Oryzias latipes: one gene and its partners. The protein of the gene in region 1 interacts with the protein of each later gene in a biochemical or structural test. Links are inferred from orthologs where the notes say so. Each region holds a gene or a part of one and is shown on either strand. Other genes may lie near its edges.

The links. The genes of interacting proteins can lie anywhere in the genome.
Region 2: the proteins of ubr5 (region 1) and otud5 form a complex in vitro, tested with the Homo sapiens proteins (2 studies listed by BioGRID, with this or other methods). The link is inferred for Oryzias latipes from reciprocal best matches to the Homo sapiens genes UBR5 and OTUD5.
Region 3: the proteins of ubr5 (region 1) and paip2 form a complex in vitro, tested with the Homo sapiens proteins (2 studies listed by BioGRID and IntAct, with this or other methods). The link is inferred for Oryzias latipes from reciprocal best matches to the Homo sapiens genes UBR5 and PAIP2.

The regions. Positions count from the first base shown.
Region 1 is NC_019874.2:6,543,330-6,546,965, reverse strand, and holds part of ubr5 (E3 ubiquitin-protein ligase UBR5), read left to right. Parts: coding exon 1-131; intron 132-222; coding exon 223-420; intron 421-495; coding exon 496-706; intron 707-923; coding exon 924-1,050; intron 1,051-1,156; coding exon 1,157-1,308; intron 1,309-1,385; coding exon 1,386-1,481; intron 1,482-1,602; coding exon 1,603-1,726; intron 1,727-2,089; coding exon 2,090-2,187; intron 2,188-2,850; coding exon 2,851-3,008; intron 3,009-3,115; coding exon 3,116-3,207; intron 3,208-3,321; coding exon 3,322-3,468; intron 3,469-3,604; coding exon 3,605-3,636. UniProt on the Homo sapiens protein: E3 ubiquitin-protein ligase involved in different protein quality control pathways in the cytoplasm and nucleus. Mainly acts as a ubiquitin chain elongator that extends pre-ubiquitinated substrates.
Region 2 is NC_019865.2:31,789,621-31,793,911, forward strand, and holds the start of otud5 (OTU domain-containing protein 5), read left to right. Parts: upstream 1-1,435; coding exon 1,436-2,023; intron 2,024-4,291. UniProt on the Homo sapiens protein: Deubiquitinating enzyme that functions as a negative regulator of the innate immune system. Has peptidase activity towards 'Lys-48'- and 'Lys-63'-linked polyubiquitin chains. Can also cleave 'Lys-11'-linked ubiquitin chains (in vitro).
Region 3 is NC_019868.2:3,409,915-3,414,029, reverse strand, and holds the start of paip2 (polyadenylate-binding protein-interacting protein 2), read left to right. Parts: upstream 1-1,259; 5' UTR 1,260-1,373; intron 1,374-1,569; 5' UTR 1,570-1,593; coding exon 1,594-1,734; intron 1,735-3,281; coding exon 3,282-3,476; intron 3,477-3,565; coding exon 3,566-3,631; 3' UTR 3,632-4,115. UniProt on the Homo sapiens protein: Acts as a repressor in the regulation of translation initiation of poly(A)-containing mRNAs. Its inhibitory activity on translation is mediated via its action on PABPC1.

The DNA.
Region 1 (3,636 bases):
GTAACTGGGTGAGGTACTGCATCTTTGACCTGGCTACAGGCAAAGCAGAGCAGGAGAATAACTTTCCCACCAGCAATCTCGCCTTCCTGGGACAAAGTGAGCGCAATGTGGCCATCTCCACTGCAGGACAGGTTAACAGTTCTTCATTTCTAACAGTCAAACACGATGTTTACCTAAAAGCGGTGCGAGTTAGCGTAAATGTTTGCTTCATTTTCTTCTTAGGAGTCTCCCATTGTTCTTCGGGACGGAAATGGCACGATTTATCCCATGGCTAAAGATTGCATGGGTGGAATTCGAGATCCTGACTGGTTGGACCTCCCTCCCATTAGCTGTCTGGGAATGGGGGTTCACTCCTTGGCCAATCTGCCATCTAACTCCACCATAAAGAAAAAGGCTGCTGTTATTATCATGGCAGTTGAGGTAAAAGACCAGATTCAGTCTTTTCTGTGACGAAGAACGAGTTTGTAATTGTGATTGCTGGTTTAATCTTTTCAGAAGCAGACCCTGATGCAGCATGTGCTGCGGTGCGACTACGAAGCTTGTCGGCAGTACTTGGTCAACCTTGAGCAGGCCGTCCTCTTGGATCAGGGGGGCCAAGCCCTGGAGGCACTTCTGGGCCACCGCTGTGATGGGAACCGTAACATCCTCCATGCTGCTGTCTCTGTCTGTTTCCCTGTTAGTAACAAGGAGACCAAAGAAGAGGAAGGTAAATACTTGAATGTTGAACCTCTTCAGACCATTTGGGGTTATATTACCACAGTAGTTAACTCTGCTCAACTGGGGCTCTTTCAAAGAGAAATTAAAACAAAGGCATGTCAATCAGGATTCCGGGTCTTAAGAGGTGAATCTACTGCAGAAGATGTGATGCAGTTGTTTCCTTTTCTCGTTCAACTGGAGTTCTGAGTCATCAAATTGTTTTTCAGAAGCTGAAAGGTCTGAAAGAAACACTTTTGCGGAGCGTCTGTCTGCTGTAGAAGCCATCGCCAACGCCATCTCTGTGGTCTCGAGCAATAGCTCTGGAAACAGGACGGGTTCCTCCAGCAGCAGAGGGTACGTAAACAAGTCGTGTGCTGTCGAGTGAAGATGGAAGATGTATTTCTGTGCATCAGCTTGATTCATAGAAGAAAACTAAAAAGAGGCGTCATTTTGAAAACAGGCTTCGACTGAGGGAGATGATGCGGCGGTCTCTGAGGGCGGCAGGTCTCGGCCGCCATGAGTCTGGTCCGTCATCCAGTGACCATCAGGACCCTGTCTCCCCACCCATTGCTCCACCAAGCTGGGTCCCTGACCCTCCACCCATGGACCCCGGTGTGTGGGTTTTACCTTGATAGTTTCAGATCACGGTGACGGTTTTGGTAACGACCGTCCTGTTTTCTGTTCAACAGACGGTGACATTGACTTCATTCTGGCTCCTGCTGTTGGCTCACTCACCACGGCCTCCACTGGAACCAGCCAGGGGCCCAGCACCTCCACCATAGCAGGTACGGGATGTTTCTAGCTAGAAAGTAGTCAAAGAAAACTGAAAACTTCATTTCATTCCTTATGAAAAAAGCTGCATGTTTTTGCCGTTTGGGTTTTGAACTGCTTTTGTTGTCTGTCCAGGACCATCAACTGAGCAGTCTGTGGTGGAGTCCAAAGACAGGAAGGCCAATGCCCACCTCATCCTGAAGCTGATGTGCGACAGTGTTGTTCTGAGGCCACATCTGCAGGAGCTGCTCTCTGCAAAGTACAGTTCTGTTCTTCATTAGAAACAGAAAGATGGGAAGTTACAGGAAAAGAAGGAGAGCAGTGAATAAGATTGGGGATTTAGTGAAAAAAAAAGCATAGAATGATAAAAAAAAATGTGCAAAACACTGTGGAGTGGTGAGTTTATTCCTGTGAAGTGTTGTACAGTCTAAGGGGAGAAATGAATGTTTGGCTGAAGGAGCCTCTCTGGGTCTCCATGGTGTGGTGTGTGTGTGTTATCTCTTATCAGGGTTAGCTTGGCTAACACCCTACTGTCTGCCACCTCCTCAGTGGAGCTCAGGCAGCAGCCCAGCTCACAGCCAGCTAGCAGTGCCTCTGATGTGCTTTTTCTACCGTTTGACAGGGATGCCAGAGGAATGACTCCGTTCATGTTGGCTGTTAGCGGGAGAGCCTATCCTGCAGCTATCACGGTGCTGGAGGCGGCACAGAAAATAGCCAAAGGTGAGCTCATGGCTGTGAACCTGTGAACATCCACTGGTATGCAGTATGCATACCAGTGGATGTTTGTGATGCACTTTTCTGCCCTGTTTCTAGCAGCTAGCTCAGTGGTCTCCAACCTTTTTCAGGCCACGAATCGGTTTAATGTCGGACGATATTTTCCCGGACCGGTCTGAACGACGCAGAAGTGGGAACTATGTTTTTTTTTTTAAACTTCCTTGTTTCCATTTACTTTTGAGGGTAAAGTTGATCCTCTGTAAATTGTCAACATCTGCTTTAAGCTTGATTTGTTCACTAGATTTAATGCAGGAACCATTGAAATCAGACAGAGCAGCCTTCAGCCTCGGCCAACTTGTCAGGTGTGACGGATAAATACTAAAAAAGGCGGAGTGGAGCGGGGATCTTAAGGCCTGCCCAGCATATTTTCTACGTCACAAATGAACTTTTTTTTTTCTGTTACTGATTTATCAATGATTTGAATAGAGAAATACTCAGAAATGTACTTTTGAGCTTATTTTTCTTTACACAAGTCCTCCATCATCCAAAAAAGGAACTTTTTCTTTTCGGCCTGGAGGTTGGGGACCACTGATGTAAAGGACGTTGGTTTTTCTTCATCATCGGTCTGGTGTTTCCGCCTTGTTTGACTCTCTCCTCCACACGTCACAGTGGGTGACCCGGCCATTGGAGATAAGGACGGGGCCGATTCTGTGTTCATGGAAATGATCTGCCCATCGGGTACCAACCCAGATGATTCTCCACTGTACGTTCTCTGCTGCAACGACACCTGCAGTTTCACTTGGACTGGAGCCGAGCACATTAACCAGGTCGCTCCTCGTCTTTTAGCTCCACAAAGTCTTGCATTTTTAATTTGTGCCGTTTTCCACTGAAACTGACCCACTGACATTTTCCTTGACCCCGATTTTGTATTCAGGACATATTTGAGTGTCGAACGTGTGGCCTGCTGGAGTCCCTCTGCTGCTGCACGGAGTGTGCAAGAGTGTGCCACAAAGGACATGACTGCAAGTGAGTCCTAGATTTGTCGTTGCCCCTGTTCTGTCTTATTTATAGCTGCCTTTAGTCTCCATCAGCAGGCTATAAATTGTTTTGTCCTAAATATTTTATTTACCTTCTCGTAAGGTTGAAAAGGACCTCACCTACAGCCTACTGTGACTGTTGGGAGAAATGTAAATGTAAAACACTAATTGCTGGACAGAAGGCCGCTCGCTTGGATTTGCTGTACAGGTTGCTCACGACGACGAACCTGGTCACAACTCCAAACAGCAGGTGAGACTTCTTCACTTCCAAATTCATTTCAGCATGAAAGCATCGGCTTTATTCGGGGCTTGTCATTTCCAGTGAGCGTTTCTTAACTTAAGCATGTAAAGCATGGATCATCAGTCCGACTGGTTTCCTCCTCCAGGGGGGAGCATATATTACTGTTCCTGGTCCAGA
Region 2 (4,291 bases), on another chromosome or scaffold:
ATTCAAAGACTCAATGTTTCCTTTTTTTCTGTTTATTCCCTTTCGGGGTCACGGGGCTGCTGGAGCGTATCCCGGCTAATTGTGGGTGAAGGCAAGGGGCACCCTGGACAGGTCGCCAGTCTGTTGCAGGGTAGAGTGTCCACAATCACACACCCACACACTCTCACATTCAGACCTAGGGACAATTTAGAGTGACCAATGAACCTATGAAGCACGTTTTAGGACGGTGGGAGGAAGTCGGAGTCCCCGGAGAAAACCCACGCATGCACGGGGAGAACATGCAAACTCCACACAGAAAGGTCCCCCTTTGGTGTTTTGGTTCCCCCAGAGGGCACTTACCACTGGGGGCTGTGCCACCGTGCAGCAAACGTGGTGTTCTCATGTTTGCTTAATGTCCTTCTCCACAATTCATTGCCTCTAACAGTCAAGCTGGCTGCCTCCAGAATCCTATTTCTAGTCTAGATCTCTTCTTCAGCTGAATGATCTGTCTGATCTCCATGTTCAGAGACAGTCACCACAAAGACGTGTGATGACAGCTGCAGTAGTCCACCTCAATGAAGCAGCCATGAAACAAGACACACTTGGACTGACTCATCTTACATCATCTCTGCTGAACACTGGGAGGGGACATACCCCCCCCCCCCCCCCCCACTGACCCTTGACCGCTCACATGGCAGCCTCTCCCCCTTTTGACTATGAAAAAAACATCTCAAGACATCCAAGTTTCTCTTAAGAAAAGTGATAATTACAACAATAACTCATAAGTGTCGGTCTGCTGCTCCAATTAAATATTCCCTTTAACAGCAGCTGATGGGAACGGAGTTCTATCTAAAAGTATAAAAATCAACCACAATCTCAGAAACTATCTGGAAAAAACAAAAAAGTGCAGAAACTATGCAAGAAAATATGAAAAAAATGTAGCTATGACATAACAGTTCTATTTTTTTTACTAAATTAAAGTGAAAACTATAACTTTCAACCCATTAAAAGAACAAATTACCCTACAATTTTAGGTAAAATTAAAAGGTTATGAGACAACAATGTTTAAGTGAGGGTACATATCTGATACTAATGAGAATTTATGTTTTGATGTGAAAGATAATATCTAGATGAATTTGTTCTCTCCGTGTAAACGGGGTTTTATGACCACGTGACGTCGAAAGTGCCCTCGCAACCAGGAAGTGACGTCGCGGCGCCGTCAGGCTGTGTTGATGTTTTGGAGAACGGGAAGAGACACGATTTGTTTTTGTTGAACTCGCCGTCGAATAAAGCCCAGCGGCCGCTTCTTTGGCTCGTTTCGGTTCGCTAAGGCTCTTAGCTGACAGACTGCAGCCTAACGGCCGGTTCAGAGGGCGAGCAGGCCGACACTTTGAACTGAAAACGGGAGGACTCGCAGCTCTGACCCCCTCCCTGCTGCCTTCACGCTCACTCCACCATGACAATTCTACCGAAGAAGAAGCCCAGCTCCGGGGTTGGCGTCCCGGACCACGCCGATGACAGCGACCGGCGAAGCGGCTCCGACCCTCATCAACATCCGCACTCGCACGCGGGGCGAACCGGCGCCCGACCCAGGGCTTCACCTCCGCCGTGGTCATACCAGGGCGCTCCGCAGTCCTCTAGGGACGACAGGCGGAGCATCGAAGCGAGCTCCCGGCCGCAGCAGGCCTCTCCGCCGCCCGTCGGTTCTGTTTCTCCTGTAGGGCCGGGCGATGGCCGGGACGGCAGCGGCGGAATGGTGGCCGGCTCCCGTGGTGAGCTCGTCGTGTCAGCTGGCGTCGTCGGTTGCGGTGGAGGAATGGGGAGCTGCTGCTCCGGGCCTGGGCTCAGCAAGCGGCGGCGGCAGGCAGGCACCTGCTCCGGCGGAGTGGTAGCGGCTCTGGCTGGGGGAGGCCAGCCCGGGGTGACCGGACCAGGAAGCGTTGGGTCTAGCCAGGACACAGAGGACGGAGCTGGAAACAACAGCGAGGACGAGTATGAGAACGCGGCGCGGCTGCAGTCCCTGGACCCGGCCACCGTGGAGCAGGTAGGAGCTAGCAGCGATGCTAACGGGATGCTAACGCGGCTCCAGCGGGAATTCTGGAAGCGCTCAGGTCTGGAAAAGCGTTTATTGTGTTAGAAGGGAACAGGGTTGTTCACATCACCACCGTGCAAATATCACATTGTTCAGGCTAAAGTATCAACACTTTACAGGGGCATCAAGTTACCATAGCAACGCGTTCCACCTCCATCAACCTGCGGTTGGAAGGGGATCATTAACCAGGTGTTTGATTGGCAGATGTTTCTGAGAGCAGCTGCCACACAGCTGTGCTCTTGATTCAAACTTGCTCCTCAACTCATAAATGGATACGTTTGTTGGGATAAAGGATAAAAACCTTAATGTCTTTATTCACCCCAAAGGCACAGGTTGATATGTGGGGCGCCTCAGGGCTCTGACCTGGGTCTCACCTCCATCTCTATATGCTGCCATCAGACCACAGGCAGCATTATGCTGCTGGGTCTCCTGATCTAGTGGAACCCACTGATGGATGGCAGGGAACTTCCTGAATCTCAACCAGCACCGAACGGAAGTTTTAAGTGTTGGTCCTGAGGCTCAGAGGATCAGAACCAAGCAGCTCAGTGGCCGTATAACGTTAAAATCCCTCTCCCATCATCTTTAGATCTATTTTCAGTGTTCCCTGTGCTAACCACTCTTATGGCAGCCTCTCCTCCTTTTGACTATGGAAAAAACATCTCAAGACATCCTAGTTTCTCTAAAAAAAAGTCATTTATTAAAACAATAACTCTTAAGTGTCAGCCTGCTGCTCCAATTGAGTCTTCCCTTTAACAGCAGCTGAACAGATTACCAACTAAAGTATAAACATCAACCACAATCTCAGAAACTATCAGGACAAAACAAAAAAGTGCAGAAAGTATGCAAGAAAAATATAAAAAGATGAAACAAATGTGGCTATGTTATTACAGTTCTATTTTTTATACTCAAAATGAAATTTAAATTAAATTAAAGTTAAAACTATCACGTTAAAAAAACAAACCCTTCATCTATCAGTGATGAAAGTCTTCCGGGAATTCCCGGAAATCCGGGTTTTTGAGCAAACCGAACGTACTTTCCGGGAAATAAAGACCTGATCTCTACGGACAAATCGCTTTCCGGATTAGAAAATGGTCTGAAATCAGCTAATTTTAGCTTTATTTTCTATATTTCTCCGCAGATCGCTTCCTCTATGGTCGTGGCCATCTTTCGTCTTCCCGGCCTAATTGACCAATGACGGGACGTTTTAGTTGCTTTCGGATGCGTCGACGGGTCTGATTGGCTCTGTCTGCACCACGTGGTCAGCGTGACTCGCTTCCCTAGAGACCAAAACTGGCGGACCCACGCTAAATTTTCACAAACACATCTGAAGAGTTTGCGATCAAATTTCTGTTAAAATAATGGCAGGCATCGTCATTATTGAGCGTGGTCACGACCTCAGTTGTGAGAAGACGATAAAAAACAAATTGAAGTGGTCTTGGCTGGAAAAAAAAGATTTTTAAGGTAGTGTAGGTCAAATACTTTTTTGTGTAAAATAATCTCAAAACCACATTTTGAAATAATTTCAATTTTAGTTTTGAGTTTCAGTTTTTATTTTGAATACATTTCTTTATCTAATTTATTTGTATTTCCTAATTACCATGATTTAGTTCAGTATAGTTAACATTAATTATAAGTATTTGATGGTTTGGACCCGCACTCCCTTAAAAAATAATGTTTACAATGTTTAGTTTGTATGTTTGTTTTGATATTTCCCAGATTACTTAGTATTGGTGTTAAAGAATTGATGTATTATGTTATAGAATTATAGTTTAAAGCAGATCCCATATTTTGATGTAGTTATAGTTTGAGAAAACAGTGCAAGTGGATGTTGTACATCAGTCATTTCTAAAGCAGAAATAATGTATAAATAACTGAGGTATTTTCATAGAATATAATAGTTACTGGTGTTATTTTTGCCATTTGGGGCTTTGATGTTACTATATTTTAGCAATTGTATGTTTTGCAGCTTTAAGGAAAAGCGTAGATTGTAGGATTGTGTTACTTTGAGCAATTTTCCAAATTCTTTTTTAGGACCAGCAAGTCCTTAATGGAGAGTCAAACTAGGGGTTTGAATGACAAATCATGATGCTCCAATTAGTCTTAGTTTCTTGATAAAGAAGTGAATAACTAGTTGCCAGAATGCACCAGAATGCATCTAAGACCACGTATTTTTCCAAAATTTCGCTCTGTGCCCGCCATATCGCTCAAAGAAAAGTTCAG
Region 3 (4,115 bases), on another chromosome or scaffold:
GTTTTTAGATAAATTGTAAACACTTTTTCCAAAAAAAATTTAATTTTAGCACAGTTCCAAAAAAGATAGTTAATTGTTTCTCGTTGTGTTTTGCAAAAAGTACAGTTAGGGTCAATTGTTTTGATGTATCTTAGCATGAGTTGATTGGTGGGGTAAATTTTGTGAATTATTTTATTATTTATCATAACTTTTTGGGTCAAACTCCAGCCTTTCCTCCAAATGCTGTCAGGAACAAACCAGCTGCAGTAGTTTTTGGTACAGAAATGACATCCCAGGCACGTATTTTGTTGTTGTTGTTGTTCTTGTGTGTATAGTAAAACAGATTTTTCCTGTGGTGGTGTCAGTTGCATCCATAGAGGGCATTTCTTCATTCCTAACAGCTGTTTTAAACATTTGACATATTTCTTTGGAAACAGCATCAAACACGATGGCATATTCTTTAGGAGTCACAACCAGATTGTATTTAGAATTGAATTTAGTATACTTTAATAAAGATTTGTTCTTGTGTAATATATATTTGTTGTTCCAAATAAAACATTTATGGGGAGAGAAATTGTGTTTGTATAAAAGTGTCCATGCGAAAAGATCCTGTTTGTGACCGCCTAAATCTGAACATATAAAATGTGGAATTATATTCCACATTGATACAGAATCCGGTAAATTTCCACCGGAAATGCACTATCATGACTTCAATGATGCATTCAGGTAAGCTCTGGAATTAGCCCTTCCAACCCAGTGAAAGCATTTCTACACCGTGTGAAGTAGTTTCAGTATGAAGCACTCTCAGTACTATTCTAAATGCCCCATAGTGACATTTTATCCACAACTGTGTTATTTCTTTAGACAGCACCAGAATCTCCCAAAGCCTCATTTCTTAAATCAGCAGTCTCATCTGCCTTTGTTTAAAATGTTTAAGAAAAATATGCGAAGGACTTAAATCTTTAAGATAATATTTGTAATAATACAATTCTACAATTTATACTTATAATGGAAACACTTTATAACAGATGTGTTTCTGCCAATTCTTTAGACTTATTTTTCGTTTTTTCTTAGTTACACTTAATTTTTACCGTTATATTTTAGTGTGGTTCGTGTTGGTTAAAAGCTGTTGTTTACTGGTCCTCGTGGTTCTCGCGGGAGAATGTAAACTCACAGCTTGGCTGCTGTAAACAGATCGTAAACCTGAAGCTGCAGAAGCTCTGCCTCTGTTGTTTACATTTTCTTCCGTCAACGTGCGGACCCAGAACGCAGCACGGAGCTCAACCAATCAGAAATTAGTGCAGAGTGACGCGTGTCATGTAAACAAACAAGGGCCGCGCGGCCATTACAGATCGAGCCTCTGTTTTCTGCCGTCGATCAAATAACCTGCGCAGGTAATTTAACTCCTCAAAACGTCGTCGGCCGCATCTCTGCCGCCTTTCCGTGAATTTGTCCACGCTCCTGTGAGACCGTGGAGCCGCGTGGTATCGCGGTAATCGTCGTGTTTTTTTTAGTTTTCGAGGCGGTGCTGGCCATGATCACGTCATAAGTGTCTGCTGCACGCAGCTTAACGGTCTCCACCTTCCACAGACCCCCACCCCCGGACCTGTAGACATGAAGGACCCGAGCTTCGGCACCACGACCCACAGCCTGACCTCGGGCAGTGACGTCATACTGAGCAGCCAGTTCAGCCCCGATGAGGAGCCTTTCGCGGAGTACCTGTGGATGGAGCACGAGGAGGAGTTTAATCGGCAGGTGAGGTGCAGGGGGGCGTGATCCTGATGTGGCCTACACGTCTCATCCTGAGGAGCTTAGAAATGGGTAAAATGAAGCCTCGTGAAGCGTTTGAAGCTTCATTTGCTCCACCATACCACCTGTTGGGCAGAAGGGGTTAATGGGTCAGTCCATTGGGCTGGTTAAAGCAGGGGTCCTTAACTCTGCTGGGTTGGGGACCCCTTATGTCTCTGCCATCTCTGTGGAACAACCCACTACTGTCTGAGTCAAACCATTTCTGATAGATATTTCTGTTAATATAGACTCAAATACACAACAACACACAGCAATTAGAGTGTTCTAAAGCCATCATAGACTTTTCTGAAGTAAGAAACTAGATGAACTGGATCTATTTCTGTTGAGATTGAACAAGATTCATGTATTTTCATTTGTTTAGTGTGAGTGAACTAGAGGAATCTTGGAGGTAAACGTCTTTAATGAACAACTCTCGGGTAAATAACACTAAAGAAAACGCAGAACAATACTGGTAAACCTCTGTGGAGGAACAGGACCTTCTGCATCACCTGTCCTCTGGGTTTAAAGTCCGGACCTGTAGACTCAACCTGAGGCCTGATCTGAGCAGCTTCACCTTCATGGGAGCTGGAGGGCTGTTTGCACAACTCAGTCATCAAAGATGGAGACAATGTGATGCTTTTCGTTTTGGTAAAACACCCAAGTCACATGACCGGGAGACAAAACACAGTTCTGTTTAGGGAATTCCCAATCCAATCACGCAGTTTCAGAATCGCATGTTGTATCCCGACCGGGGTGAGATATTTATTTTATTCTTATTATGAAGCATTCTTGTCATAGAACCAACGTTATCTATTTGAAGTCTATTCATGCAGGTAAATACTCTACACCAGAAGTCTGCATATCATGAACAGATCATGGGATTCTATCGCAGCAGAATACGGCAGTGGTTTGAGCAGGAGGCGCCCAAGAACAGTTTGGTAAAGTTAGCACAGATGTGGACTTCCGGGCTCAATGACGCCTTTAGTAAAGGTTTTAAAATGACGGCAGGTGTCTCTTGCATTCTGCACACAATGACCTTCACATGCATTTCAGATGAGAATGTCTTTCTCTGTGCGGCAGACGGGCAGAAGGTTTACAAAGTGATTTCAATAAAAAGTATTCCATAATCTCTCAAAAACAGCCAGAACTAATAAATGGCTGCATTGATAGGAGTTATTCATAAAAACTCATCATAATATTTATGCTTCAACAACAGTTTGGGAAAAAGTACTTCATTTATTGTCCTTCTTTTTTTATGTGGATTTCAGTCACTTCTGATCAAAAATAGTTCTGAAGATCCTAAAGCCACAGTCACCGACCGGGGAAAACCTGGATCTGTCTTCATTTCTTCATGTGTAACAGAAGTCTTGGACCAGGACTTGGTATCGGCAGACACTCGGGATAAAAACACGTGCCAAAAAAACGCATTGGGACTTTCCACCTCCGGACACGAGTGACACCGTGGACTTTCAGAGACGAGTGGATAAGCTGTGTTTTTCTGCACCTGTGTGCAGGTGGAGGAGGAGCTGTGGGAGGAGGAGTTCATCGAGTGCTGCTTCCAGGAGATGCTGGAGGAGGAGGAGCAGTGGGAGTGGTTCATCCCGTCCAGAGACCTTCCCGCCACCAGCGTTAGCCAGCTGCAGGAGCAGATCGGCCTGCTTGTCCTCGACGTGGACGTCCACCCCAACGCCGACATCCTGGACTCAGTGGTGAGTTCAGCCCATCAGGAACCAGAACATCTGTTTGACCTTTGATTCCCGCCTCCTAAGCCTAAAGCTGTTCTGTGCTCCCTCGTCAGAAAAGCAGCATTCTAAACCCCAACGCCAAGGAGTTCACCCCGGGCATCCAGAAGCATGCCATGTGACCCAGCGGGGCTCCGCCTCCTCCCCTTAGTCCGCACTGGGATGTCACGTAGATGTCTGCTGTTTTTTTCAAGCCGTCACTCGAACCTTTAGCTGATGTGTTGCCAAAGTTCAGCGCTCGACTCGCACGTGTTCAAGTTCACTACGTTGTTCCCGCCCACCTGTTTCCCCCCTCCCACTTGTTTGTGCTCTGAATGTAAATCAGCTGAGAGGAGCGTCACTTTTCTCTGGGGAACCAGAACTCCGGCTGCGTTCTGTCAGATCTCCTGTAGGTGCTGCCCCACCCTCCGAGCACTTTCTGCTCCACTTTCACTTTGACACGCCACTTTGGATTCTGATCCGGTTTAGTCCAGCTTAACTAGCAGTTTGGGCGTGTCACTTATTATGAGTTTTTTGGCTGTTTTCCCAGCATCCTTTGTGTTCGGCTTTTGCTTGCTATCGCTCGCTGCCTCATGTATTATCGTTGTTTTTTCTAAACGCACAGAA